Linked DNA regions of Elephas maximus indicus. The protein of the gene in region 3 interacts with the protein of the main gene of each other region in a pairwise test. Links are inferred from orthologs where the notes say so. Each region holds a gene or a part of one and is shown on either strand. Other genes may lie near its edges.

Region 1 (6,989 bases), on a different chromosome or scaffold from region 3:
AATTGTCTTCTGAAAGTTTGCACCAGTTGTATTCCCATTGCATTAATAATTGATACAAGGCTGATTCTCCAAATGTGAAGATAATTCACATCCCTGCATTCCCATTTCTTCATCTCTGACACCAACCACCCACATGGCATTTTCTCTCTCTGCCCCTAACCACCCTGAGTTAAGTCTTTACAAAATGACTGCCTGCACAGCCCTCTTCTGTCCACCAGCCACCCAAGGCTGGGGTCTTTACAAGTTAGGACTCTATCCTTCTAATCAACTGCCAAAAAGGCAGGCTCCAGGCCCTGTTGGCCCTCATGACCCAGGTAGGTTCAATAATTGCTAGAATGGCACACAAAACTCACGGAAAGGACTATAGTCACTAAAACTTTTAATTATAACCACAAAAGGATATACACGAACAGAGGCACAGGCAAGGTCTGGGAAGAGTTTTTGGCACTGAGCTTCGTCCCCAAAGATGTGCCAGTCCAAGGCCTAGGGTCCTTTTTAATAGTCATTGGGACCTCAGTGTATATGTGTGATGGAGTCTTAATGTATAGTCAATGACTGATTGAATTACTGAATATGCATGGCTGCATAATACCCCTCTCCCTTCCAGAAGTTATTTCGATTGGTGTGGTCTTTGGCCTCCCACCTCATCGGCTTATAGTGACCCTATAGGACAGAGTAAAACTACCCCATCGGGTTTCCAAGAAGCGCCTGGTGGACTCAAACTGCTGATCTTTTGGTAAGCAGCTGTAGCTCTTAACCACTACACCACCAGGGTTTCCTGCACATGTTTAAGTGTTGTCAAACACTTAAACAAATCTGTCTTGGAAGAAGAATAGCCAGAATGCTCCTTAAAAGAGAGGATGGTGAGACTTTGTCTCACGTACTGACACATGTTATTAGGAGGGACCAATCCCTGGAGAAGGACCCTCATGCTTGGTAAAGTAGAGGGTCAGCAACTAGAGGATGACCCTCAACGAGATGGACTGACACAGTGGCTGCAACAGTGGGCTCATACATAGCAATGAGTATGGACCAAGCAAGCAGTGTTTTGTTCTGTTGTACATAGGGTCACTATGAGTTGGAATGGCACCTAACAATAACAACAATAAGTGTTGCCAGACTGTTTTGGAAAAACAACGGCACTTTGATTGCTTGAGAAATTCCAAGGGCTATTTTCAGGAATGAGAGACAAAATGCCAACTCTTTGTTCCACACACCCACCAACCCTGTGTTTGAGTGTCTATTTCTCCAAATCCTGGCTAACCCAAGGTTATTAAACTTTTTCATCTTTATCAAGATTTTTGAAAGATTTTGATAGCTCTGATTAAAAAAAAGTATTATTGTGGTTTTAATTTGCTTTTACCTATCCCCTCTCCATTAAAAGCCTACTGGTAACCTGTTTATCCTTCAAATCTCAGATTAAAATTTCATCTCCTTTACAGATCCCCCACCCAGTGGTGTCACTAGGGTTGGTTTCACCTAGTGCGATGACTCATGGTGTCACCCCCCCATGCTAATTACCACAATATTGTAGCTAAAACACCAGAAAATTGACAAAATCAGTCACTATAAAAACACCACCAGCAACAAAAACAACAGTGCATGCTTGTAGAGTGTGCAGACAAAACTATGTGATTCAAAGCTCACTGTAATTGGGTAATAATGACAGCTCTGACCAGTGCATTAGAATGTTCAAAAAGTAAATGAGCATAGAGTTTTATCCTTTAGGTATACTGAAACATGTAAGCTGGGCTTGTGAAAAAAAATTTTGTTGCTATAACTACAGGAATTATTATTATTTTTGTTTGTTTACAGCTCAAGTTTAGTTTCTCGTACAAAAATTTATTCACACATTGTTAAGTGACCCTAGTTGCTATCCCTATAATGTGACCACACATTCCGCCTTTCCACCGCGGATTTCCTGTGTCATTTCATCCAGGTCCTTATCCCTTTTTGCTTTCTCATCTTGCCTCCAGAGAGAAGCTGCACTAAGAAGCACACTCTTAAGGAGTGTCATTTTACGTCTTATAGTCCAGTCTATTCTTTGTCTGAAGAGTTGGTTTTAGTTCTGGGTTAACAGACAGTCCAGGGGCCATGTCTTCTGGGGTTCCTCCAGTCTCAGTCAAACCACTAAGTCTGGTCTTTTTCCTAGAATTTGGGTTCTGCTCCCCACTTTTCTCTTGCTCCGCCAGGGATTCTCTGTTGTGCTCCCTGTCAGGGCAGTCGTCGGTGGTAGCTGAGCGCCATTTAGTTCTTCTGGTCTCAGGCTGATGGAGTCTCTGGTTTATGTGGCTCCTTTTGTCTCTTGGGCTAATATTTTCCTTGTGTCTTTGGTGGTCTTCATTCTCCTTTGGCTCCAGGTGGGTTGGGACCAATTGACATCTTAGATGGCCACTTGCTAGCTTTTAAGACCCCAGATGCCACTCACCAAAGTGGGATGCAGAACATTTTCGTAATAAATTTTGTTATCCCAATTGACCTAGATGTCCCCTGAAACCATGGTCCCCAGATCCCCACCCCTGCTACACTGTTCCTCAAAGTGTTTGATTGTGTTCAGGAAACTTCTTAGCTTTTGGTTTAGTCCAGTGGTGCCAACTTCCCCGTACTGTGTTGTCCCTCCCTTCACCTAAGATAATTCTTGTCTACTACTTAGTGAATTCCCCTGTCTCTCCCTCCCTCACCACCCTCGTAACCATCAAAGAATGCTTTCTTCTGTGTTTAAACCTTTTCTTGAGTTCTTATAATAGTGGTCTCATACAATATTTGTCCTTTTGTGACTAATTTCACTCAGCCTAATGCCTTCCAGATTCATTCATGTTATGAGATGTTTCAAGGATTCATCATTGCTCTTCATCGTTGTAACTACAGGGATATTTTTAATAAAAACTCAAAAAGTTCTGCTCTAAACATTGCACAAAAATTTCAGACAGTCATTTTTGTGTTACTCCCTCTGACAGTGTCACCCAGTGTGATCTGCTGTGACTCCACTGCCTCAGCCACTGAATTTCTCCCTTCACTAAGCATTTACAGCTTTTCATTATACAGTTCCATACAGCTTTGAATTTTAGCGACTTTTATCTTCCTACCACTGTAGATTGCAAGTTCCTTGGAGTTAAGGACCTGATCTTTTTCACAGACATATGAATGTATTGCTAAACAAGAATTTTAGAGAACATATTAACCAAGCTTCTCATTTTTTAAAATAACAAGAGTATGGAGTATTTGCAAAATGAGTTACAGTTCATAAAGGCTTTTCCCAGACATTTTTAATTAGTTACATTAAATCCTCACACTAAGCTTGCAAGGGAAACATCGTGCTATCGATGTTTTTTTATTTCAGATTAGGAAACTAAGCTCCAGGAAGATTTATTAACTGAGTAATGTGATTTACTCAGTAATAGGTCCAAGACAGGGCCCTGGTGGTTAAGCCTTCGGCCACTATTCGAAAGGTCCGCAGTTCTAATCCACCAGCCGCTCCGTGGAAATTGTGTGGGGACAGTTCTACCCTGTCCTATAGGGTCGCTATGAGTCGGGATCAACTCGAAAGCATTTTTTTTTTTTTTTAGGTCCAAGACCAGAATCCACCGTCCTCGTCCCGTTCCACTACATCACATCCCAGCTGCTTCTCCTTTTCCTCATAGCACTTAGCCGCACAATCAATATTTTCTGAACGAAACGACTGAAAAAAAATGCCAGCTGTAGACAGCAGCTTAAATATCTGAAATTAAATAAAGCAAAAGTGCTGACAGCCATGGGTACACATCTCTACACACACCTCTCGTCCTTTCTTTCGGGATCGTGGGCAGCTTTCGCTCCAGCGAACCTCTCTTTCTCCTGGGAGTTTCCTCACCCCAACAGGCAAGGCACGGTCCCGAGGGAAACACGACTCGCGCGGCCCCTTTAAGGCTGCGGGCGGCGCGTGCCCACAGTCCTTTCAAATGGACCAATAGAAGGGCGATGGGCAGTCAGTCGAGCACCAATAGACAACGAGGACACTGCGGGGTGTGCGGCGGCCCAAGCGGTTTTAAACGGCTTAGAGCAGGCCCCTCGGTTCTGACCCGGCTGAGGTGAGTGGGCGGTGGTCCTGACCCAACCACACAGGCCCGCAGATCTCGGCGTCGCGCGCGCGGAGGGTCCCCGAACCCAGGTCGGAGGACCTCCGTGGGCGCGCGCCTCCCATGCCCCACGAACCCGGCAGAGCTGAGGCGGCGAAACGGGGCGGAGGCCCGGGGACCTGCGGCTGGGAGTGTGCGTGGGGCGCCGGCGTGCGTGTGCGACCGAGGCCGAGGCTGGGTTCCCGGTGACCGGAGGGGCGCGGGCGGCAGCACCCAGGAGGCGCGAGCGGCGCAGGGCCGCGGCTAGCGGCTGTGTTCCGGGGTTGGGGCGGGGGCCCTGCGAGCCGGCCCTGAGATTGTGCTCGTCACGTAATTGTCGAATGAATGAATGAGAGCCTGGGAAGACTGTGGTGGTTCTGAAGGGCCCGGTCGCCTCGGAGTATGATAAGGGCGGTGGTACCGGGGCCTGGCCGCGCACCTCTGTCCCTACTGGCTTGCTGCGATTTTAACGATTCTGGTCATTCACCGCTCCGGTGTTAACGCCTGACTTTCTCTAGGGCAGGAGGCTAAGCCTTTCAAAGGTGTCGATAGAATTTAGGTGGCTTTCCAGTTTTGTAGGGTTTGAGGACCAGTATAACAGCCAGCAGTGTAAGCTAATCAGGCCTTGCTAGTTCGGGGAGGGGGGGTGCTGGTAAACTACACTCTTACTTTTTAGCGCTTAACCACTCATCGACCATTGAGATAGTTACCCTGCAACCCTGGTAATTGTCAGGAAGAATTTAAATGCATCCTGTTTTGTTTCTGGCATAGAAAATGATGAAATTGGTGTTGCCAGGGTGTCCGCTGTGGGTTAGAAAATATACGTATTTGTCTCGATGAATCTTAATGAGTTTTTCGTTCAGTGTCTCTATAGGGTGAAGTGGTTTTTGCAGAACTTGTCCCACATTTATGCATGGCTCTAATTTAATTCTCGGGGGAACCAGGGCATCAAATCTTGGCCCAGAAATGCTGCCTGTCTTATTTTATGTATAATTATAGTAATTGAAAACTCATTTTTCGAAAGGTGAGCTCCTCCTTTCCCCATTTTTATCTCTCTGAGAAGTCCTTTTTTGACCTCACGAATAGCAGCTGCCAATAATTAAGCTAAGTTTTTTGAAACTTTTATGAAGTCATAAAATATTTGGACTTTCTATAAATTACTGGACAAAATGTATTGTTTTATAAAAATTAATGATATAGAAAAAAGTGAAATCGATTTCTTTTGCCAGCATAAATTAAACCTGGTTTGTAAATTCGTGAGAAAAAATTTTTAACACAGGTTTTCACACAGGCAATATTTATACTTTATTCTCTTATTACTTTAAAAGTCTTAATCATCAGGGTTGAATTATAAGGAGTGGTGTGAGGTAGTTCCACCACAACTAAAGCCTTCTACAACTGACAGCTCAATTTTAGCAGAGTTTTAAATTGTAATAAATTTGAGTACTTTAAATATTACGAACACTGGTCTAGGTTCTGAAGAAGCAGTTAAAAATAATGAGCATCTTTAACAATGCCTTCGGATAGTGTTAAAAGTCTTGACATACGGCCAGACTTTCTTTTGCTTCTTTGATTTAATGGGGTCTCATTCATTTATTCAACAAATACGGAGATTGATATCTACTATGTGTTAAACCTAACTGAAAGGTTGGTGGTTCGAACCCACTAGCCACTCAGTGGGAGGAGGATATGGCATTCTGCTCTCCAGCCAAGAAAACCTATGGGACAATTCTACTTTGTTCTATAGGGTTGCTATAAGCTGGAACCGACTCCATAGCACACAATGACAGCACTGTTCTAAACTCTATTCTAGGTTCTGGGAATACCCTGGTGATCCAGAAAAAGACAAAGCCCCTGACCTTAGGGAGTTTTACAGTTTTATCCCCCCAACAATTTATTGTAGCAAATTGTAATTTTTATAATCTCTGTGGCCCAGCTGTGGTCCTTGAACAAAATAAATTCTCAAATACATTTATTAGCACTAGCTACATTTTTTGAATATTCATTGGGTGCCACATTTTATCTTTTCTAATCTTCACAATGGAGCCCTGGTGGTGCAGTGGTTAAGCATTTGGCTGCTAATCAAAAATCCACCAGCCAGTCCTTGGAAACCCTATGGGGCAGTTGTGCTCTGTACAGTAGGTCACTGTAGGGTCATGAGTTGGAATTGACTTAACTAGACAGCAATGGGTTTGGTTTTTTTGGTTAATCTTCACAACAACATTTTACAGATGAGGAAACTGAGTCTTAGAAAGGTTATGTAACTTGTTCAAGATCATACAACTAAGTGACAGAACATCATTTTGAACCCAAGTTTGTCTACAGGGTCTTTGTAAGGCTCTTAACCTATAGTTAATGCTATGTGAAGTAATGGGGTCTGATAGGGACAATTCACGAGCAATTTCTGTGTAGAATCGCTCCTTCCCACACTTTTTTTTCTTCTATTTAAAGACATGATGAAGTATGAGTGACAGGCGCGTGGTAGTTTTTAGAGGGAAGATGGACACAGTTGAAAATACAGTGTTAGCAATATGGGAGATAGACAGCTGTGACAGTGTGGTGGGGAACTGGAGGGAGAATTTAAAATTGAAGTCTCAATCCAATTATAATTTATGAATTTCTGGTCGTCAGTTTTGGAGAGTTTTGAGGTTCTTAAGGGATTCTGGTGTTCTTTCTTCTAGAGTTCAGAATATGTTACTTAGTCCTATCAGGGCAGTTGTCGTTTGCTGTCAAGTCAATTCGGACTCATAGGCGCTCTGGTGGTGCAGTGGTTACGCTCTCGGCAGCTGACTGAAAGGGTGGTGGTTCAAAACCACAGCGTAGGAGAATGATGTGGCATTCTGTTTCCATGAAGATTACAGCCTAGGAAACCCTATGAGGTTTCTTGTCTGTTCT
Region 2 (7,758 bases), on a different chromosome or scaffold from region 3:
CATTGTCTCTTCCCACAGATGTAGTCAGTTTGATTTCTGTGTGTTCCATGTGGTGAGGTCCATGTGTATAGTTGCCGTTTATGTTGGTGAAAGTAGGTATTTGCGATGAAGAAGTCGTTGGTCTTGCAAAATTCTATCATTCGATCTCTGGCATTGTTTCTATCACCAAGGCCATATTTTCCAACTACTGATTCTTCTTCTTTGTTTCCAACTTTTGCATTCCAATCTCCAGTAATTATCAATGCATCTTGATTGCATGTTCGATCAATTTCACACTGCAGCAGCTGATAAAAATCTTCTATTTCTTCATCTTTGGCCCTTGTGGTTGGTGCGTAAATTTGAATAATAGTCGTATTAACTGCTCTTCCTTGTAGGTGTATAGGTATTATCCTATCACTGACAGCGTTCTACTTCAGGATAGATCTTGAAACGTTCTTTTTGATGATAAATGCAATACCATTCTTCTTCGAGTTGTCATTCCCAGCATAGTAGACTATATGATTGTCTGATTCAAAATGGCCAGTACCTGGCAGCCTACTTCTGAAAAGCATTAGCCAGTGTAAACATCCTTGAATAAGGTAGCCAAAATAGGGTAGACGTGGGGAATATTGCTGGTATATACTCAGAGCTTTCTAAAGAGACAATGGAAGATTCTCTAACCTTCTACTTTAATTGATATTGTCTTTGCAGAGTTTGAGCAGTAAGAAAATTCCTCTGGGGAAAGAAGTGTGTAACTGAGCATTTTAATAGGGAGGAGGCTTAATTTTAAATTAGATTACTAGGTTGGAATGAGACCTACTATTGTTGCTACAATAGCAGAGGATAATGATAACACATAGTTATAAAGAATAGCTTATAAAGAATTTTCACATACCATACTAAATGATTCTTACGGCAAGCTTGCTTGTGTTTGACAGATGAGAAAACTGAAGCTTGAAAAGATTAAATTACTAGATGCGCAGGGTCATACAGTTTATAAGTGACAGAGCCAGGACTCAAATGTGCTTTTCTGACTTGAAGGGCTTGAAATAAGAAGCTTTCATTATATCTAGTCCCCTCAAACCCCCAGGAACAAAATTTGCAATAATTAACTACAAGAGCAGTCACTATATCAACAGTTCTGATATTTTCTTTTCTTAAACTTTACAGTGGTTGAAATATTTACTGTTCCACCAATTATCACTGAATTTTAGTACTCCAGGAACAGTCCTATGGAATCAGAGCTTCAGTCCTACTTTTTCTGGAATTCCTAAATGGCATATTCATTTATTATTTTTTTGCATGTTGTTAGGTACTGCCGAGTTGGTTCAGACTGAGTAACCCTATGTACTCTGTGTACGACGGGAGAAAACACTGCCTGGTCCTGTGCCATCCTCACAGTCTTGTTATGCTCGAGCCCATGGAGGCATTGTGTCAGTCCATCTTATCGAGGGTCTTCCATTTCTTCACTGATCCTTTACCAAGCATGATGTCCTTCCTTCTCTAGGGACTGATCCCTCCTGATAACATGTCCAAAGTATGTGAGATGTAGTCTCAACATCCTTGCTTCTAAGGAGCATTCTGACTGTACTTCTAACACAGATTTGTTCATTCTTTTAGCAGTCCATGATATATTAAATATTCTTTGCCAACACCATAATTCAAAGGCGTCAGTTCTTCTGTCTTCCTGATTCATTTTCTAGCTTTCGCATGCACATGAGGTGACTGAAAACAACATGGCTTGAGTCAGGTGCACCTTAGTCCTCAAAATGACATCTTTGCTTTTTAACACTTTAAAGAGGTCTTTTGCAGCAGATTCGGCCAATGCAATGCATCGTTTGATTTCTTGACTGCCGCTTCCATGGGTGTTTAAATTGTGGATCTAAGTAAAATGAAATCCTTGTCAACTTCAATCTTTTCTCCATTTATCATTACTTTGCTTATTGGTCCATTTGTAAGGATTTCTGTTTTCTTTATGTTGAGGTGTAATCCATACTGAAAGCTGTGGTCTTTGATCTTCATTAGTAAGTGCTTCAAGTCCTCTTCACTTTCAGCAAGCAAGGTTGTGTCATCTGCATATCACAGATTGTTAATGAGTCTGCCTCCAATCTTAATGCCCTGTTCTTCTTCACAGAGTCCAGCTCCTCAGATTATTTACTTAGCATACAGATTAAATAGGTATGGTGAAAGGATACAACCCTGACGCACACCTTTCCAGACTTTAAACCATTTAGTATCCCCTTGTTCTGTTCGAATGACTGCCTCTTGACCTATGTATAGGTTCCTCATGAGCACAATTAAGTGTTCTGAGATTCCCATTCTTCACAATGTTATCTATAATTTTTTATGATTCACACAGTCGAATGCCTTTGCATGGTTAATAAAACACAGAAAACATCTTTCTGGTATTCTCTGCTTTCAGGCATGATTGGTCTGACATCAGAAATGATATTCCTGGTTGTACGTCCTCCTCTGAATCTGGCTTGAATTTCTGGCAGTTCCCTGTTGATGTACTGCTGCAGCTGCTTTTGAATAATCTTCAGCAGGATTTTACTTGTGTGTAATTTTAATGATATTGTTCGATAATTTCTGCATTTGGTTGGATCACCTTTCTTTGGAATAGGCATAAATGTGGATCTCTTCCAGTTGGTTGGCTGTTTTCCAAATTTCTTTGCATAGACGAGTGAGCATTTCCAGCGCTGCATCCATTTGTTGAAACATCTCAATTGGTATACTGTCAGTTCCTGGAGCCTTATTTTTCACCAGTGCCTTCAGTACAGCTTGGACTTTTTCTTTCAGTATCTTCCGTTCCTGATCATATGTTACCTCCTGAAATGGCTGAATGTCGACCAATTCTTTTTGGTGTAGTGACTCTGTATTCCTTCCGTCTTCTTTTGATGCTTTCTGTGTTGTTTAATATTTTCCCTGTAGGATACTTCATTATTGCAATTTGAGGTTTGAATTTTTTCTTCAGTTCTTTCAGCTTCAGAAATGCTGAGCGTGTTCTTCTCTTTTGATTTTCTAACTCCAGGTCTTTGCACATGTCATTATAATACTTTATTTTGTCTTCTCGAGCTGCCGTTTGAAATCTTTTTTTCAGCATACTACCTTAATATTTGGACAGGATAGTAGTGAAGTGAGATGGTAAAGGTTGAGTAAAAAATGAAAGTGGAAATTTTAGCCTAATAACAATGTAGAAAATGGTGTGAAGGAGTGTTCCAGAAATTGACTAGGCTTTAGGTCTGGGCTTTCACACAAACTCCTAGGGCTCGACGGTAAAAAAAGTGAGAAGGAGGGAACAGAGTTGAGAATAGCCTCTGTCTTAGTTATCTACTGCTGCTATAATAGAAATACCACAAGTGGAGGGCTTTAACAATCATATATTTATTCTCTCCATGTTTGGGAGTCTGGAAGTCTGAATTCAGGGCACCAGCTTCAGGGGAAGGCTTTCTCCCTCTGTTGGCTCAGGGGGAAGGTCCTTGTCATCAGTCCTCCCCTGGTCTAGGAGTTTCTCAGCACAGGGACCCCGGTTCCAAAGATACGCTCTTCTCCCTGTGTTCCTTTCTTGGTAGTATGACCCCCCTCTCCCCTCTGCTTGTTTCTCTCTTTTATATCTCAAAAGAGACTGACTCAGGATATATCCTAATCCTGTAGATTGAGTTCTGCTTCATCAACATAACTGCCTCTAACACTGCCTCATTATCATCATACCCAAAACCCATTGCCATTGAGTTGATTCCAACTTATAGCGACCCTATTGGACAGAGTAGAACTGCCCCACAGGGTTTCCACGGAGTGCCTGGTGGATTTGAACTACAGACCTTTTGGATAGCAGCCATAGCTCTTAACCACTGCGCCACCAGGGTTTTCGATTATCATCATAGAGGTTAGATTTACAACACATAGGGTAATCACTTCAGATCACAGAATGGTGTACAACCACACAATACTGGGAATCGTGGCCTAGCCAAGTTGACACATTCTTGGGGGACACAATTTAGTACATAACAGTCCCTAAAAAAATTATTTCCTAAGCACTAGGGAAACCTAAGCTTGAATAGCCACTAGTCTCCTTTTGTCTCTACCAGGGTCCTGTTTATTGTGAAACTTAGTTGTAAGAGTTTCATAGTTTTAACCCGAAATCTTTTATTGAGGATATAGCAACTTCTCTAACTGGTTTCGGAATGGTCTACTTCATAACACTTTTGCAGAGAACCAAGATAACCCTACTTCGTTGTGATTATTTTATAATTATGTGTAATACTGGAATTTGTAATAAGGGAGGGGTAGAAATAATGTTTTATGTCTTACTTGTCAAGCTCTTTACATTCATCGACTCTTATAATCCTAGGTACACTCCTGGAGTACTGTTATCCCCTTTTTATGGATGAGAATAACTGAGGCTAGCTATATCACACTTTACTTAGGGAGATAAGACACACACCAACATAAATATAACGTGAGACAAGATAAATGTTTACAGTGTAAAAGCCACGATTAGGTGCTATGAGTGGCCCTGTGAAGCAAGTATTAGCATGTACAGGACCCCTTTACTACATGCTTGCCTCAACAAATTAACTTCTTGAGGTGGCCACACAGTTGTATTCATAGGATTGACACCTTGGGGGCGCGAACCCAGAAAGGATTCTGTGGACGGTGGGGGTTACGTGCTGCACATGCACCGTCCAGTCTGAGTGCCCTAGGTGCTCTCCATTTAAGGAAGTTGGCGGGGGGGGGGGGGGAAGGGGGCTGGCCTTGTGGCTACATCCTACACCCCGTGTCCTCACCCTCCCAGCCTCTGCTGCCGCTAAACCCCGGAAAGCGGAGCGTGCACGTTGAGATTCCTCGGTGTGCCTGGCAGCGGCTGCTGGGCATGCTCAGTGGGCAGGACCCGGTAGAGTGGCGAGTAAGGAAGCGTTGGCTCTTTTCCGGCTGTTTTCCCCGGTTCAGGCCCCAACCCTGGGCTTTTGTGTGTGCGGAGCTGCAGCCACCACCGCGGCCTCCTCGCACGGCTTCCGGACCTTAAATGCTGTGTGGCCTGTCCGGTGTCCGCCGTTAAACTAGTAGCCCGGCCGGGAGGCGGAGCGGACGGGGCGGGGCCGGCGGGCGGGCGGGCGGGCCAGCAGGCAGAAGGGCCCTGCCCGGGGTGGGGGTGGGTGCAGGGAGCCCCGTGGGGGTGGGGGGAGGGGCGGGCACGGAGTCACGGGGGTGGGGTCACCGGCTGTGGTTCGGAACAGCCGACTAGGAGGGGAGGGGCCGTGGGGGCGGCCCCGGGGAACCAGCCCCGGTTGGGGAGCAGCGGCGAGTCCGGGGGCCCGGGCCAGGGCTTTCCGGGCTTCGGCGAAGCCGCCGAGGGCCCCATCTTCCGGCGCTTGCGGAGTTTGTGGTGATTGTTGGTGTCACCGCCGCCGCCCCGGCTGCCATCTCCTCCTCCTGGGCCGCCGCCTCCTCCTCTTCCTCCTCCTCCTGGGCCGGGCCGATCCCCTCCCCACTGCCGCCGCCTCCTGGGCCGGGCCGCGGTGTCTCGTCCCCTAGCAGAGCCGCTCCTGCTGCCGTCGCCTCTCCTCATTCATCCTCGTGCACCATAGGCGGCACAGGCACCAAGATGTCCAACCGAGTGGTCTGCCGGGAAGCCAGTCACGCTGGGAGCTGGTACACAGCCTCAGGTAGGGCCCCAGGCCGGCCGGCCGGTTGGTCGGCCCGCCGCCGCCGCCGCCGCCTGGCCCCGCGCCCGGCCGGCGGAGGTCGGCGGCCTGGCCCCCAGGGGACAGGCTGGGACGAGGGTGCGGACGGGCCGCCGGCCACGGTCCGCGTAGGAAGGGAGCGGGCCGGAGGACGGCCTCGCCGCCTCCCCCACTCGGGCGGCGTCCGGCGCGGGCAGCCTGGGTCGGCCGCCCTCAAGCTCGCCCCAGAGTTGGGCGAGTTGCCGCCTCGGCAGTCTCCTCCTGCCCGGGGCCAGGTTCGAGGAAGGAATGTTCCCTGTGCTTCCCGACCCGAGTGTACTTGTCACCTCTCCACGGAGGGGCTTTGGTTCCTCTGGCTCCCGGGAAGTAGGCGGCCGCCACCCCCACCCGGGGAAGGAGTCCCGCTTCTCCCACACCAGAGGAGGGCGACCCTCCGCCCTCTGCCGAGCGAGGGACTTGCTCTCCTTTCCTCCCGCCGGCGAAGCCTGAGGCGCCCTCGACCAAGAGGGTGTTGTCTCCATCTGCACACCTGGTTCTCTTCACCCCTTAACGTGAGAGGAAGTCTTTTCTCCTTTTTCCTCTGACAGTTTGGAAAGAGAGGCACCAAGGTGCTCCGCGCTCTTGAAAGGCTGGGAGTGAAGGATAGTACTTTTTCACGTACTCGACTAGACAAGGTCTCAGCGTGTGAGCTCTGTAAAAGAAGAGCATTCTTCGGGATTTGTAGCTTTGTATGTTGGGGTAGTGCAGAAGTACTGCTGAGAGAGGCTTTGGGTGGCCTCCCAGCTCTTTGTTAGTGTTTTCATTGTTACTGTCATTCACGAACGGGGCAGCTGGAAATGGCATCAGCACTTTTCCAGAGCAGCCTCCCCAGTGTCTAGTCGTTCAACACCAAGCAGCTGCTGGAACTACGTAAGGAACTAGTTTAACAACTGTTTACATACATTTTAGAGTTCCTTATATAAGAGTGTATGGCTTTCCCTTTTAAAAAGCTCTTGTTAGAACGACTGTTTTCTGGGATTATTTTTAGGAGTCACATATTCTGGTATGTTAAAAAAGAAAGTTCCACTGTGATTCCCAAGTCTTCAGTCATTTGGAACTGGTTTATCAACAACTAGACCTAACTTCTTAATGTTGAATCAGATCGTGTTCCCATTGCAAATAATTGGGTTGGATAGTGCTTCTATTTGTGAGAAAACTAAGATTTGGAAGAAAATTAATTTCTCTGAGGTTGCTAAACTGGCTCTTAAATATACACACCTTACTTGCTGAAGATATGCTGTGTCAGGAAAACACAAAAGTATTGTCATGGTTGGATTTATAATTCTTACAGTTAGCTATAGTTTTGTATTAAACAAGTACTATTTTTTTTTTTTTTATGGGTACAGGAAATACCCTTCATGATCCTAAAGTACTTCATAAGCATTTAATCAGTTCTCACAACCTGAGGATATTAGTTAAGCTATTCTGGTTAAACTTATAGAGAAACATGTAGAGAAGTTCAATAATGTGCCCAAGACAATGTCTATACTAAAACAGTGTCAGAACAGCAGTTGAGAAATGGGAGTCCCTTGCTCTTGGGTTTATCCTCCAATCACCAGGCTAGTGTCTTATTAATACTCAGTTTGTCAGTGTAATAGTCTTTCTGGGCTGTAAGTTACTAAGCTTTTTCTTCCATGCTTTGTTATTTAGTTTTCACTTTGATGCTGTCTTTTGGTTTATTTTTGTATTAGTTTTCTGAACCTTTCCATAAATGTTTTAAACTTTTTTTTGAGTTTGCATTGAAATGTGGGCAAATGATTTTAGAGGCATTTTTATAGATTCTTGAACATTTTTTGGGGTAGTAAAATAAGGCATAAATAACACTTTGGACTTGAAAAGTCTTCTTTAGTATATCTTCTCAAATATAAGATGAATCCTTTAAGGTTGTTTCCAGTTCAGAAAATTCTGTGATATAGCTATTTCTAAGCAGTAAGCTAAAATTAACTATTAAAATTTTAAACATCTGTATTTTCTGAAATTCTGAGTGAAATCAATAATGTCATTTTGGTAGCGTGAATTGTCAGAGAACCTTATTAAAAAAAGATCCAGGCTTTGT
Region 3 (7,205 bases):
AACCACTAAGCCACCGGGGTTTCCACAGACAAGTTACACAGGCTTTTCTGTACCACTTGATGTTTGTTTTCTCAGTGGTTACTTCTTTAGCTCTGTGATTCCCTACTGCTGTCCTGGCCCTCCCCTCCCCTGCTGCCTCCTCCGCTCCCCCAACACCGTGTCATAGACAAGTGCCCTCTCATCTCAGCTTTCTCAGCAGTAGGGGTGTTCTTTCCCTTCCATTGGGAAAGCGATCCCATTGTGCTTGGATTGCTTATGGCACTGGTACTTGTTGGACAAGTGGTGTGAAAGAGGACACTAATTCCAAATCTGCTTCTCTCCCTTCTCTGGGCCATGTAAAAACCAGTTGCCTTCGAGTTGATTCTGACTCATGGTGACCCCATGTGTGTCAGAGTAGAACTGCTCCATAGGGTTTTCAGTAGCTGATTTTTCAGAAATAGATCACCAGGCCTAAAAAAAAAAAAAAAATTTTTTTTAGATCACCAGGCCTGTCTTCCGAGGTACCTCTGGACTGATTTGACCCTCCAACCTTTCTGTTAGCAGCTGAGCACCTGAACTGTTTGCACCACCCAGGGACTCCCTTTGGGGCAGGGAAAATAGCAGATTTACAGTTCTCCCAGGCTTGCCTCCTTCCATCCCTACCCCCAAGCTGTTGCCAGCTCAATCTTTCTGAGCGGAAATGTTACTTGCTTAAAAACCTGATGACTCACTCCCCTTTGCCCCTCCAGCCTGCATAGGCCACGTAGGCACATGGATCGATTTTGTTTGGTCTGCATGGTGTTGGCCTCCACAAGGCTTAAGAACAATTTAAATTAGTAACAACATTAAAGATTGGAAGATTTCTTAGAAAATCCAAGATTTTGGTTTCTCTTGAAAAATTGTTAGATGGTAACAATGGACAATATGGACTGGGTAGGCTGCCCCTCGGACGTGCAGCGATCTCTTGAAACCTCAGCGACCACGTAGCCTTTTTGTTCCCTCACCTTATCTAGGTAGGCCTGTGTGTGCCCCTTTTACAGGATTTAGTTCTAACAACTTAATGGGGGTACGGGATCCTTCACAGTTAGGCCCCACCCTCCCTCTGCCCCTAAAAAAAACTTCCTGCCAATTCCCACATGGATTCCTATAGTCTCTATACTACTAAGTGAGTAGTTGTTTGCCTGGTTGGTTTGCTTATTCTTTGTTTATTTTTTTGACTGAAGGGACCATTCTGTAGACCTCTCTGGATCATGGATTAGAGGCCAGGTGTGTGTATTTGTGGAGTGTTTCAAAGGTGTTACATTTTAGATTTTCATCGTGGATTCACCCAAAGGTTCTGTGAAGGGGAGAGAAGCAGAGGGAAGAAAGAGAACAGAAGGGGCCGTTTCTGTGCTTAAGGTCACTTCCAAAGCAAATACAGTTCATCTGGTTACTTGGTCATGTATCTGCAGACATTCTGCTCTGTGAAGCTGTGGTAGTTAGGAGCAGCAAAATGGTGGTTCACCTTGGTTAGGATATCTGTTGTCAAAACATTATTGCCCATTCTTTCCCCAAATTACAGGAAAACTGATATATCAGCTTGCCTCATTACCTGTATTTCTGGCAAATAAAATCAGTGCAAGCGGTTGAGTGGTTCTTTATTTCATTGTTGCTCACGTTAAGTCCAAGAATTGGCAGAAGAGTGATTTTACTGTAGCTTTAGCTTCAAAATTTTGCTGTATAGGTGGGGCTTTGTCTTATTGGGACCATCACTGGTCTGGGCCCTGTTCTCTACTAGTTCAGAATTTAATTTTCTCAGCAGTCAGGCTTTTGGAATTCATGTCACTTTAGCCAAACTCACTAGGACTATTTGTAAACTAGGATAATCATTTATCATACATTGGTTGAACAGCTACTGAGTGTGTGGCCCTGTGCTATTCTCTGGGGAAACAAAAATAAATCATGCAGATGACATGGCCCTTGCCCTTTAGAAACTTACAGTCCCAAAGTGGGACAGATATATGAACAGACACCTTATACATGGTGTGCTAAGTGTAGGGTGACCTTACATCCTGGTCTGCCTGGGACACTGCAGGTTTATGCCTTTTGTCCTGTTGTAACTATTAAGAGTACAAAACTACTGAGGGCCACAGCAAAAGCCTCTATGAATGAATGAGGCATAGAAATGTTAACAGAAAGGCAGAAATCAGCCTGATTTCCCAGAGTAGACGCTGCTGGGTGAAGAAGGCTGTTAGGGCAATTAAGAACTCCAAGCTTGGAGGGAGGGGGGTTGTTCCAGGTGTGTGCAAAATTCTGCAGGCAAAAAGGAGATTGTTCTGGAAGCAGCAATTTGTTGGTTCGAGCTAGGCATTTTTCTGAATTTTTGTGATAAACATTCCCCAGGGTACACGGTAAAAATACAGATTTTCAGATCTTGCTGGTAATCTGGATTCATGGGTCTGAAAAAAAAATTTTTTTTTATGGGTCTGAGAATCTGGTTTTTAAGACGCGCCCCCAAAGCAGAAGGCATATTACCACCAATTCTCTACCAATTGCGGTTGCGACTAGGAATACAAATGAATGGGAGTGGGGCGGGGGGGAGGCAAAACAAGATGACAGCACTAGTCACAGGTCAGCCAGGCAGGGGTGACCCCAGGTGAAAAAAACTCTCACAAGCCAAACCAGTTGGGAGATTAACAATAGTTCCAGGAAAACAGGGAGTGACAGAACTATGTCAATCACAGTAGGGATACAAAGAAATGAAAAGATTGGAGAACTATTCAGGATGAAGAATGAACGGGATTTAGTATATGCCAGCTTATGATATATTTCCAGGCAACAGGGCATTTATGTCAAATATAGAAACCTGGGGAGACCACAAAATCATGAGTTTTACTTGGTGAGCATAAACCTAAAGAAAAAATAAAAAAAAAATAGTTGAATAGTTTTGTGGTACATTTCATCTGGATCTAAAGGATGATTCCTGCTTATTTCACAGCTCTGTCATCCCTAGAACACTCATGACAGTTGTGTTTATCTCTGAGAAGGAGCTGGGTGAATTCTCAAGCATCCAGACACCCTAACTCTTTCCTTTTTTAGGCTTCAAACACATGCCTGCGTTATGGCAAGGCTACCTGCCAAGTCTTATCTTGCATTATTTTTGCTTTTGTTTTTCTTATCGAATGTGTATGACAGTCGAGATTCGTCAGCAATATGTGTGCCAACCCGTTTCTGGGGAGACGGTCAGTCTCTTGCAATTTCAGCATGACCTTGTCCCCAAATTCTAGAGCTGCTCTCTCTGTGAGAAGCTGCAGCCGCCTCACAGATCCACTGCAACTCTGGGAAATCATAGATAGTAACAGTACAAGAAACAGGCAAGGAGGTCTTTCAGCCTTTGAAGTTGCCGAGTTGGTGGTTCTGAGAAGAGTAATCCCTAAACAGAACATGAAGACAATCTGAGGAGAGCTCTGTGTGTCCCTTCAAACGGAAAAAGTGTTTTTATATTTTTAAGGCTGCCTTCACCAGGCCTGTTGACAAACCAAGTCAAAAATCAAGTGATGCAAAGACTTGGGAGTTATGAAAACGACGCCTCAAAAAGGAGAATGGGACACCGACCAGACTGTAATTTCACAGGGGTAATTTAGCACCGTTTACCCAAGACTGGACAACTTCAGAGCCTCCAGGAGTGCGGTTTGGGGAGGCACAAGGCATCTTAAATTCCAGTCCTTGGCCACTAGCGCTCGTAGAGTTGCTGAGAGATTTCCAAAGCCTGGGAGTGCTAGGGTGGAAGATGACCAGGCTGAAATCTTCCACCCTGTCGGTACCAGCCAGGGGAAAAAAACCAGTCAACAGTGGCTCCAAAGCCTTTTTTATAAGGGGCTGAACTTTTGTGCGATCCAACATCAGCAATACGTCATTAAGTCACTGTAACGGAATGAAAAAACAAAAAGGGAAGGAGGAAAAGTCCAGCGTGCACAGACTCAGAAAATGGATTTTCCCCGCCCCTGAGAAGCACAGTGCTGTCGGGGTCGCCCGAGTCCTCTGCCCGCTCCCAAAGTCGCAGCCTGGAAGCCCCTTTCCCGCAGTCGAGTCGCAACCAGCGCCGCGCCGCGGCGGGGGGATCCGCTGGGAGCATCGCAGACTTCAAAGCGCCGGCGCCGCCGCCGCCCCCGTCCGCGCGCGGAAGTAGTACGGTCCGAGGGGGCGGCTCCTGGGGCGCGGCTCCGGCGGCAGCTGATGCGCGCCGGGCCGGCTAGGAGGCGCGAGCCGGAGACCCGGGGACCTGGAGACGCGGAGACGCCGAGGCCGAGCCGCCGGGCGCCGCGGGCCGGAGACCTGAGGCCCCAGCAGAGGCGTCTTCACCGCGGGAGAAACCCGGCCCGGAGACGGCCGCAGCGACTGGGAAGGAGGACGAGGAGGAAGCGGCGCTGCGTGCCGGCGGAGAGGAAGCGCTCCACCCGCGCACCCGACGGCGCTCGTTTAACCACATCCGCGCCTTGGCTGGAACCGCTTAGGGGCGCCTGTCACCGGTTCCCTCCATTTTGAAAGGGAAAAAGGCTCTCCCCCTTCCCCCCCCTTAGGACCTGGAGCCGGAGGTGCCGCGTTGATGGCGTTCAGCCCTTGGCAGATCCTGTCCCCCGTGCAGTGGGCGAAATGGACGTGGTCTGCGGTGCGCGGCGGGGGCGCCGGAGAGGACGAGGCCGGAGGGCCCGAGCGAGACCCCGAGGAGGAGGACTCGCAAGCCGAGACCAAATCCTTGAGTTTCAGGCAAGTACACAGCATCCCTGCCGAGATGCAAACGTGCTGCCATCCATTCACCCGCGGCTCGTTCTGTGTGCGTGTGTGTGGTCGCCCACCCGCGTAACCGTGTTCATGGCAATGCTACGTCCCTGCCCATAACCAGGTCCCCGCTGTGCAGTCGAAAGTTCAGGGTGTTGTGTCCTCCCGTGTATTTCTTTCCTCCATGTCAATATGAGCTTTCTGAACCCAACCCAGAATCTGCAGCGTCTCCGCGTTCCCTTCTGCCTCGGTCACTTTCTCCAAGCGTCAACCCCCCAGCCCCTGCCTCTGCACACAAACACACACGGGCGGTTCCTTTGATCACATCTCGTGGAACTTAGAACCTTCCCTGTGGGGAAGAAGTCGCCCCCTGGCCCTTCAAGGCCCCGCTGTGTCCCAAAAAATGCAGCCCTGGTAAAGAAGGTCGCGTGATGACAGGCCCTTGGCAGCTGGGGAGAAATGGTGGTCTCTGCTAAGCTGTCATCCGTGTGATTGCGGAAGGCAGGTGACAGCACTCCCAGCCTGGGGCCGAGTGGGTTCCAAACAGGTAGAGGCCTGCTGAGGAAAAAGGCATCATGGCGAGAATTGGGCGGGGGTGGGGGATGAGAATTTTTAAACCTGTAGGAAATGGCTCTTCGGAGGAAAGGAGTCTGTTAAAGCGCTTTTGGGGGGTGTTAGAGGGAGGGATGACTTCAAAAATAAACGGTGCTAGAGAAGAGCTCCAGAGGATCGAAGAGATTTCAGGGAGACAGGATGCCCGGCTGAGAAACCCAAGGAGGGCACCGCTAGGAAACCGTAGCCAGCAGCCTCGGGCAGGGTGATCCGTGCCGAGGACCATTTGGATGTAAAGTTAGACAGAAAATGCTGGAGTGTGGCCTTTGTGACTATCTAGATTATAAAGTGTCAGAAATACCGTTGAAAGTGGTAATTCCTCGTTTTTCCCCCTTGGCAGCTCGGATTCTGAAGGTAATTTTGAGACTCCTGAAGCTGAAACGCCGATCAGATTGCCTCTCAAGGGATCCAGGGATTCGTCACTAGGATTGACAGGGCCTGGGGCCAAAGCCCAAGGTAAAGACAAACTTTCATTTTCTGCCTGTTCGGCTTTAAAGTTTTGAAAAATGTGCATGGGCGGGGGGGGTGCGAAGTGTTAATTTAGGACCACTGAAAAGGGTTTGGATTGTTTGACTCCTTACTCAGAAAGAGCTGTTTAGAGCTCCTGGGTTATTTGAGAGTTCCTTCTTTTTTTAAAGAGTGTGATGGTCACAGGCTTTCTCCCCTGAGTAGGGTTTATGTGTTTGCATTGTAAGATTATCATTATCAGACCTTCTTGCTGGGCCCTTCCCCTTTGCCCCTAAAGAACAAAACTTAGCTGGTAGTAATGCAGGGGTGGGGGTATGTTTAGATATGGCTTCACAAACCTCAGGCTAAGTCACTCCTTAGGGGTGTGGCTGGAAACACAAATTTTAGATAAGAATTGAGTTTTAAGGTAGATTCTGAAGAGGCTGTTTCGGAATGGCTTACCTCTCCCTCTTCCACGCAGGGATGAGGGGGAACCCCTTCAGCCCGCCTAAGAAACCCAGGCACAGATATCCCCTCCTAGCCCAGCCCAGCTTTGTGTCTGTCCTTCATCTATAGAAGCTGCTTCACTTAATTAGTGGAAACCTTTTTTTGTCACAAAGCCAATTTTGAATAAAACGTCACCTCTCCTGATAGGAATCATTCATTCATTCAGTAGAGTGCAGGGATATAGCAGTGCACAGAGTCCTGCTCTCGCTGAACTAACATTGTGAAGGGAGGTGGACCTTTTAAGGGTTGAGCAAAATATATATGTGAACTTATATTGGGTGCTATGGAGAAAAATAAAGCAGGGGGAGGGGGAGTAAGGAGTATGAGGTGGGAGAAGGGAAGCATGGTTGAAAAGGTGAGTTAAGTGGAGATATGAAGGAGGATTGAGGAAGCAAGCCTCGTAGATTCTCAGGGAAAGAACTTTTCATCCAGAGAGAATGGCATCTGCAAAGGGCTGAGGCAGGAGCAGCCTGCGGGCAGTGATGCCAGGTGGTGGGAGGGTGCCTGGCATGTGTGAGGACCAGCAAGGAGGCCACTGTGGCTAGAGTAGAGTGGCAGAGGGAAAGCCGGAGCCGGAGAGAAAAGGGCAGGTCCAGATCACACTGTGATGAAGATTTGGTTTTCCTTCGGGTTGATGGAAGACACTGGAGAGAGCCGAGGGTCTGTGCGTTGACTTTATTTGTAAAAGCTCACTGGTTATTGGATTGAGGAGGGACTCTGGAAAGATGTCCTTTTTAAGGGGTTTCTCTTTTCCAGTGTCCGTCACTGTCACCCAAGAATGGCACAGACAGCTTGCAGTTACCAGTTAATTTTTGAACTATGACTTTCTCTCCCCACAGTGACTGTATTTTATTGCTTGATAACTTCTTCGCAAGTTGCATAGGGAAGTCTAGTCACTTTGG
Region 4 (7,281 bases), about 5.2 Mb from region 3:
TTGCACCTCTGGTCTTTCTGGCAATATTAAGGCTGCTGTGTGACAACTCCAGGGGTCACCTTATACATCATAGTCTCTGTGTTTAGCACCTCCATAGAGCTGGTATTAGGAAGACAATAAGGCTGAGGGACATTCAAGTCAGATGGTCCTGGCCTTGAAAGCTGGCAAGCAGTTTAGTCTTAACTCTTTGTGCAAGAAAAAGGGTGGGCACCAGAGGTTTTTAACAACCAGATGATGGATCTGAGTCAACGCTGAAAAGATGAATTTGACAAGTCTATCCAGAAATGTCTGACCTGGAGAGCCTAGAGCAGAGTTTCTGAGTGTGTTATCTGCAACCCCATCTCTGACCCAGTCACCTGGAGTGGTTGTTCAAAATGCAGATCCCGGGCCCCATGGATATTGTATTTCTTAGGTTTGAAGTGTTTAAATAAGCCACCTAGGTGTTCCTGTACGCTAAAGCTAGCTAAAACTGTCTCAGAAACAAGACCAGTTAGGAGCTATATTACTTGTACAGGGCCATGCCATGTGACTGTACACGACAGCCCTAGGAAGCAGCATTCCTAAGCACCATTCTCAAAGGAATGCCTGGGAACACGTCATTAATTTTTTTCTTTTATGGTGTTCATAACTACAAATAAATGGCAAATAAAAATTAGTAAATAGATATTTAGCTTTCCTCTTTATGTACTGGCAGCGGGTGGAGGAAACGCTTCCACCTGAACAACGTGCTGGTGGCACCCATCTTACAGGGCTGAACTGCCAATACCCAGCATGCAGTGCCTGCCCTGGCTAAGGCCTGGTTGCCTAGATACCACATTGTATCCAGAGTGTTGCCAGTAGGTGAGTCAGCAAATCTCCCTACGTTCCTGTGACAACACATTGTAGATCATGGAGTAAGGAAATGTTTTCTACTGAGTGCTACCAGCCCAAAAGGAGAGAAAAAGTAGTTGAAGGTCACATAAATAGGTAACAGGGTCCCTTGCTTGCTTTCTTTAGAGCCATATAAACCATTCTAATTGCCTATTTTGGAAATTAAGGAAGCAATGTATGTTTTCCATTCCACATTATGTCAGTTGAAAAAGAAAATACTGGGAGGCAGGAGGGAGGGAACAAAAGGGAAAGGTGGTAGAGGAGAGAGGAGACAAAGAGAAGAGATTGGAGAAAAAACTACTGAAATAAGAGAAGAAGAGGAGAGACAGTTATAAGTACACGAGAGAGGCACATGACAAAATGGATAGAAAGGAGACAATGAAAGTGAGACTGGGTCCCAAGCTGAGAGAATGGCTGCACTATTTTTGTCCAGTCTACATTCATTTGGGCTGTTAACATTCATTCAACCAACATTCATTGAATACCTACTGTATGCCTTTAGGTATTAAGTATATTTAGTCTTGTATAGGACATGTTCCTTGCTATTGGGGGTCTGCGGCTTCAAGGGAGCATAAAATATACACACTGTTATTCTCCGTGGCAGCCATGCTGCACTGCAGATGGTAGCAGGGACCCTGGCTGTCTACTTTCTGCCATCCCCCAGTATCAGTACTGGGCCTGGCACCTAGTAGGAGTCCCGTAAATGTTTCTAGGGTGTGTTAAGTGCTAAACTGTGATACACTTATGGCTGAGGAGAGGATAGGTTTCCTAAAGATTGAATTTTGAAGGACAGTTGGGCTTTTCATAAGCAATGTTTGAGACATTTTGGACAAAGGGCATGGTGTGAAGCTGTAGTGTTTGTGTAGGTTTAGGACCTGGAAAATGCCAAAATATCTGAATGTAGGGTTAAGCACTTGACTACTAGCTGCAAGTCTGGTGGTTTGAATGCACGCGGAGACCCCTTGGGAGAAAGGCCTGGTAATCCGCTTTGGAAAGATCCCAGCCTTGAAAACCCTACAGAGCGGTTCTACTCTGCACACGTGGGGTTGCCATGAGTTGGAATTAATATGATCCCAAGTAACAGGAACAACAGGTTAGTATTAGGAAGACAATAAGGCCGAGAGACATTCGTGTCAGATGGTATTGGTCCTTGACAGCTGGCAAGCACTTTAGCCTTAATTCTTTGTGCAGGAAGAAGTGTGGGCACCAAAGGTTTTTAGCAACTGGGTGATGGATCTGAGTCAGTGTTTGAAAAGATGAATTTGACAAGTCTATTCAGAAATGTCTGACCTGGATTGCCTAGAGCAGAGTGTCTAAGCACGTGATCTGTATGTAACCCCACCTCTGACCCAGTCACCTGGAGTGCTTGTTCAAAACACAGATCCCTGGGCCCCTCTGCTACTGTATTTCTTAGGTTTGAAGTGTTTTAAGTAAGCTACTTGGGTAAATTTCCTGTACACTAAAGCTAACTAAAACTGTCTCAGAAAGAAGACCAGTTAGGAGGTATATTAGTCCTCTATTGCTGTGTAGCAACTCACCCAAAAATGTAGTGGCTTAATTAAAAAAAAAAAAACAAACAACTTTATTATCTCGAAGTTTGTAGGTCAGGAATTCAAGAGTGGCTTTGTTGGGAGGTTCTAGCTTGGAGTCTCTCATGAGTTTCCTTTCTGGCTGTAGGCCAATGCTGCAGTTATCTGAAGACTTGAGTGGGGCTGAAGGCCCCTCTTCCGAGCTTACTCATGTGGCTGTTGGCAGAAACCCTTAGTTCCTCTCTGTGTGGGCCTCTCCATAGGGTTGCTCATGACGTGGCAGCTGTCTTCTCTCATAGCAAATTCACAGAGAGAGAGAGGGACACAGAGACAGAGAGGGACATGGGGGGAGGGGGGAGAGAAGTGACATACCATGTTCTATTGGTTACACAGACCAGCCCTGGTACAATGTGGGAGGGAACTATACAACGGTGTGAATAAGGGTGTGAATACCAGGAGACAGGGATCATTTCTGAAGCTAACTTGGAATCTGGCTATCACTGGAGGCATAGCCTATGGGTGAGGTGATAAGAACCTGAAATTGTAGTATGTAGTGTGTGATAGAAGCCCTGGTGGTGCAGTGGTTAAGAAGCTCAGCTGCTAACCAAAAGGTCAGTAGTTTGAGTCCACCAGCTGCTCCTTAGAAACCCTATGGGGAAGTTCTACTCTGTTCTATACGGTCACTTTGAGTTGGAATCAACTCGATGGCAATGAGTTTGGTTTTTGGTAGTGTGTAATAAAGGAGCCCTGGTGGTACAGTGGTTAAGTACTTGGTTGCTAACCGAAAGGTTGGCAGTTCAAACCCACTAGCCTCTCCTCAGAAGAAAGATGTGGCAGTCTGCTTCTGTAAAGATTACAGCCTTGGAAACTCTATGGGCAGTTCTACACTGTCCTGTAGGGTTGCTATGAGTTGGAATCGACTCCATGGCAACGGGTTTGGTTTTTTTTTTTTTCGGTTTAGTGTGGAATAATATGATTTAACATGCTTGAACACTTATCACTTGCCAGGATCTGTTGTAAGCTCTTTACATGTATTATTGCTGTCACAGCAATTCAATACAATAGGTGCTGCTATTATCCCAATGGGTAAACTGAGGTAAAATTGGTAGCAAAGGGAGACAGTTATTATAAAGAGAGACTTGTCAGGCCATGGAGAAAAACTTAGTGTGGAGGAAGGTAATTGGTTTTAACCAGTGTCCTACTGTCTGATAAACCACCCTTTAAAAAACTTCAAAATCCTTAAGTTTTAGGATTCATTTTGAGCTGGCCACATCAGCTAAGCATTGGCAAATCACACTCCAGCCTAAAGCCCCCCCCCCCGCCCCCCGCCAGGGCATTTATTTAATAAGCAGTGGGAACAGAACCAAATCAGGCCAGAAATTCTCCCCAAATAGGATTCCTAGAATGGGCTCCTAAACAGCTGGGTCATGTTTTCCATACAATACCCAGGATTTGCTCTCTGCCCATCTGCCCCTGCCCAAGACTCTAACTTTGAGAATCTTCTTCAGTCCGGAGACACTAGAAATGAGAAACAGTTTTATTTTTGAACCAGGCAAGCCTGGCTCCTGAATGTATCAGGTAGGCTGTGCAGGGGAGGAGAAACTGAGTGTTCACTGTTTATCTCTTCCCAACACACCTGCAATTAGGGTTCATCAAAGCAGGCGGTTTTTCTCCACACACTTTGAATGTTCCTGTGCCATGCCAAAATGCCCTATAATCTTTCCACTGTGCTTCTGCTGAACTTCCCTCCAAAATTCCCTTTTCCAGTCGTCTGTCAGCTCCTCCCTAGTGTCCTCACGCACCACCCTGACCTGTTCTTGCTGCATTCACAAGATTCCTTTACTTCCTTTCCTTTTCTCCAGTTTGCTTTCATTTCGTCTCCATTTCTCTCTTTTTCAGGCTCCATCCTCCCAGCTTTTCTGTTTTGGGAGCCTGTTCTACAAAGCCATACCTGTACTTACTTACAAGTGCCTGAGAGTTTGGTAATTTACTTACTGTCAACAAAACAAAGGAAGAAAGAAAGGAAAAAAAGCTCCATAGACGCAAGAACAGAACCCGGGAGGGTGAGCCAACTTGGCCTGCGGGACCCGGTCAGTGTAACTGAGAAGGGCCTATTGGGCCTCTGCAGACTCCTCCTTGCAAGAAACCCTGAACTTCGGAGTGAAGAAGAGGCTGGACCTGCTGATATTAATAAGTTCTGCAGGACCGGAGAGATGGCGTGGCAAGCCATCACAGACTACACACGACACCTCCAATTAACTGGGAGTGGAAGTGTGAAGGGACCCCACAGCAGGTAGGGGTCAGCGCGCAGGACAAGCCCTGCCTGGGATGCAGTAGGCAGCCAAGTCTCGCTGACAGCTTCCACTGGAGCCTCTCCTGGCGCACGGGTGGGGCCCCAAGTGCCCAGTCAGTCAGCCGGGCATGTGGGCCGCGGGTGGGGCAGCGCGGGCGGGCCAGGGCTGAGGGACGCTGTTTGCCAACATCACCGCCTGAGTGTTTGTCCAGCCAGTCTGTAAAGCTCGCGGGCGCCTTTGCTTTTCCCTGCCTCCCTTCCCGACAACTTCTGGAGGCCCAACTAGACGTGGCAGGTGCTGGGGTCCTCCTGCCCACGCGATCCCAGTGCCCTGAACAGGTAGATGCTGGGGGGGGGGGGGAGCAGACCAGAAAGGGGAGGCCTGGGAGAAGTGTGTGTGCGTGTGCGTGTGCGTGTGTCCGGAGTGTTCTCGAGCCAGACAGTGAAGGCCCGGGGACCGAGGGGAGGTGGGGCTGTGAGCGGAGGAAGGTCGGGGCGAGGCCTCGGTCCCGGCCGCGCGCCCTCCTCCTCCGCCCCCTTCCGTCCCGCCCCGGGCGCGCTCAGGTGTAGGGCCGAGCGGCTAGCGCAGCGGCGGCGGCTGGTGGACGGTGTCAGATGTCAGGTGTCGGGTGTCCGAAGCCGCCGGCTGGGTGAGCAGCGGCCCCGGAGGGCCGGGGGCTTGTGGTTCTAGGGGTGAAGCTAGAGGGGGAGGCCTTCGGGGAAGTTCTGGGGATCCCGGCGGGTGATACGTGTATTCGAGGGGTGTGTGAGCACACAACGCATGATTACGCACCGGGCGCAGGCGGGGCGCCTCGGGGTGGCCGGCGTGGGAGGATCTGGCGCTCCCTAGCTTTTGGACTCCAGCAGTAGAACGGTGCTGGGGAGCCACGTCTCTCTCGCTCTTCGCTCTGGTTCTGGGTCACCCGTCCACCTTATGACGTCCACCGCCACATTTGTGCGAACAAACACCCCGCGTCTATAGCACCATATTGACTTTCTCCTCGAGGAGATTTCTTGAGGGCTGGGAAAACTGTTTCTGCCGGCGCCCTACTCGGCAGTGGTTCCCGGGCGCGGCCACGTGGGATCGGTGCGCGCCACCTCCCTGGCCTAGGTGGGCCACAGGCTGCCGGCTTGGAAGGCAGAGCCAGGCACGGTGCCAGTGTGCTCCGGGTGGCCTTCCTCAAACAGGTGGGCACCCCTGCCCGCTCCAGCCGCGCTCCTTTCCTCGGGGTCCACGCACAAGTCTGAATAGAGGTGGGAGGGGAATTGGGAGACGCAGTGAGAAACCACGGTTTGTAGGTTTTCTGCTCGGCGTTGTGTCTCCTTGATCAAGGGTCTCGAGGCGGAAGCAACCCTTGCACCTGTCTCTAAACTTAGATTCTCCTCACCTCATAAAAGCCTGTTACAATTATTGGATACAAGTATTTTAAAAGTGAATAAGTATGTGGAAGGCATAATGTGGCCATAGATTTGTCATGAGTGGAATTCTCTAGGTAAACCCTTGTGTTGCAGTAAATTCAAATTTCCGAAGGCTGATATATGCTTATAAAACAACTTCCCAAATTGCTGTCCTCTCTGGTAATTCATTTTGTCCTCAAAAGCAGCCCCTTTACAGATTGAACAAGATAAGGGAATTTTGAAAATGGAAGTGGCTATTTTCAAAGAATTAGAAGTTAAAGCTCTATTATAACGTTAAAATTGTATTGCTCATACCACAATATTTTTATAATTTAGGCTGTTTCAGCCTTTTGGGGGGGAATCTTTGAGGGGTTCAGCGGCTGTGGCAGATGGGAGAATCAGATGAAATCTATGGACTTTATGGAAGACTGAATTGATCCTATGACTCTTTGGAAATTGGTTTTTGAAATGCATAGTAGGTGTGAGCTTATTGCTTATCTTTTCTGTCTTTTAGGACAAGTGCTGTACAAGAAAAAAACCAAGTTAGTTGAACTTTTTATTAGTCTTGAATAACTAGGAGTTGTTTGAATCATATCAGGGAATGAAAGTGGGAAAAACCCTGGTTAGTTAATTTCCTCATTTTTATTTCCTCTACCTTGGCTCCACTTGTGTCCATGGCGTCATACTAGATTATATCACATGTGGTTGTTGTTGGGTGCCACTCAGTCCATTCCGACTCATAGCGACCCTGTGTATAACAAAATGAAACACTGCCTGGCTCTAAGCCATTCTCACAATCCTTGTTATGCTTGAGCCCATTGTGGCAACCACTGTATCAGTCCATCTCATTGAGTGTCTTCCTCTATTTCACTGACCCTCTACTTCACCAAGCATGATGTCCTTCTTCGGGGACTGGTCCCTCCTCATAACATACCCAAAGTATGTGAGATGAAGTCTCGCCATCTTCACTTTCAAGGAGCACTCTGGCTGTTTTCTTCCAAAACAGACTTGTTCATTCTTCTGCAATCCATGGTATATTCAGTGTTCTTTGTCAGCACCGTAATTCAAAGGCATCAATTCTTCTTTGGTCTTCCTTATTCATTGCCCAGCTTTCGCAGGCATACGACGTAATTGAAAAATATCATGGCTTGGGTCAGGTGCCCCTTAGTCCTTAAAGTGACATCTTTACTT

Evidence for each region.
Region 1: the proteins of TACC1 (region 3) and CKAP5 interact in binary tests that used the Homo sapiens proteins (3 or more experiments, as listed by UniProt). The link is inferred for Elephas maximus indicus from reciprocal best matches to the Homo sapiens genes TACC1 and CKAP5.
Region 2: the proteins of TACC1 (region 3) and MEMO1 interact in binary tests that used the Homo sapiens proteins (3 or more experiments, as listed by UniProt). The two-hybrid records come from large-scale screens. The link is inferred for Elephas maximus indicus from reciprocal best matches to the Homo sapiens genes TACC1 and MEMO1.
Region 4: the proteins of TACC1 (region 3) and SH2D4A interact in binary tests that used the Homo sapiens proteins (3 or more experiments, as listed by UniProt). The two-hybrid records come from large-scale screens. The link is inferred for Elephas maximus indicus from reciprocal best matches to the Homo sapiens genes TACC1 and SH2D4A.

Annotation. Positions count from the first base shown.
Region 1 is NC_064825.1:102,292,523-102,299,511, reverse strand, and holds the start of CKAP5 (cytoskeleton-associated protein 5), read left to right. Parts: upstream 1-3,977; 5' UTR 3,978-4,067; intron 4,068-6,989. UniProt on the Homo sapiens protein: Binds to the plus end of microtubules and regulates microtubule dynamics and microtubule organization. Acts as a processive microtubule polymerase. Promotes cytoplasmic microtubule nucleation and elongation. Plays a major role in organizing spindle poles.
Region 2 is NC_064844.1:35,654,594-35,662,351, forward strand, and holds the start of MEMO1 (protein MEMO1), read left to right. Parts: upstream 1-4,754; 5' UTR 4,755-4,885; intron 4,886-5,237; exon of another isoform or gene 5,238-5,567; 5' UTR 5,568-5,584; coding exon 5,585-5,645; intron 5,646-7,758. UniProt on the Homo sapiens protein: May control cell migration by relaying extracellular chemotactic signals to the microtubule cytoskeleton. Mediator of ERBB2 signaling.
Region 3 is NC_064840.1:61,920,604-61,927,808, reverse strand, and holds the start of TACC1 (transforming acidic coiled-coil-containing protein 1), read left to right. Parts: upstream 1-4,203; 5' UTR 4,204-4,564; coding exon 4,565-4,725; intron 4,726-5,689; coding exon 5,690-5,805; intron 5,806-7,205. UniProt on the Homo sapiens protein: Involved in transcription regulation induced by nuclear receptors, including in T3 thyroid hormone and all-trans retinoic acid pathways. Might promote the nuclear localization of the receptors.
Region 4 is NC_064840.1:56,713,334-56,720,614, forward strand, and holds the start of SH2D4A (SH2 domain-containing protein 4A), read left to right. Parts: upstream 1-4,271; 5' UTR 4,272-4,692; intron 4,693-4,862; exon of another isoform or gene 4,863-5,031; intron 5,032-5,255; exon of another isoform or gene 5,256-5,342; intron 5,343-7,281. UniProt on the Homo sapiens protein: Inhibits estrogen-induced cell proliferation by competing with PLCG for binding to ESR1, blocking the effect of estrogen on PLCG and repressing estrogen-induced proliferation. May play a role in T-cell development and function.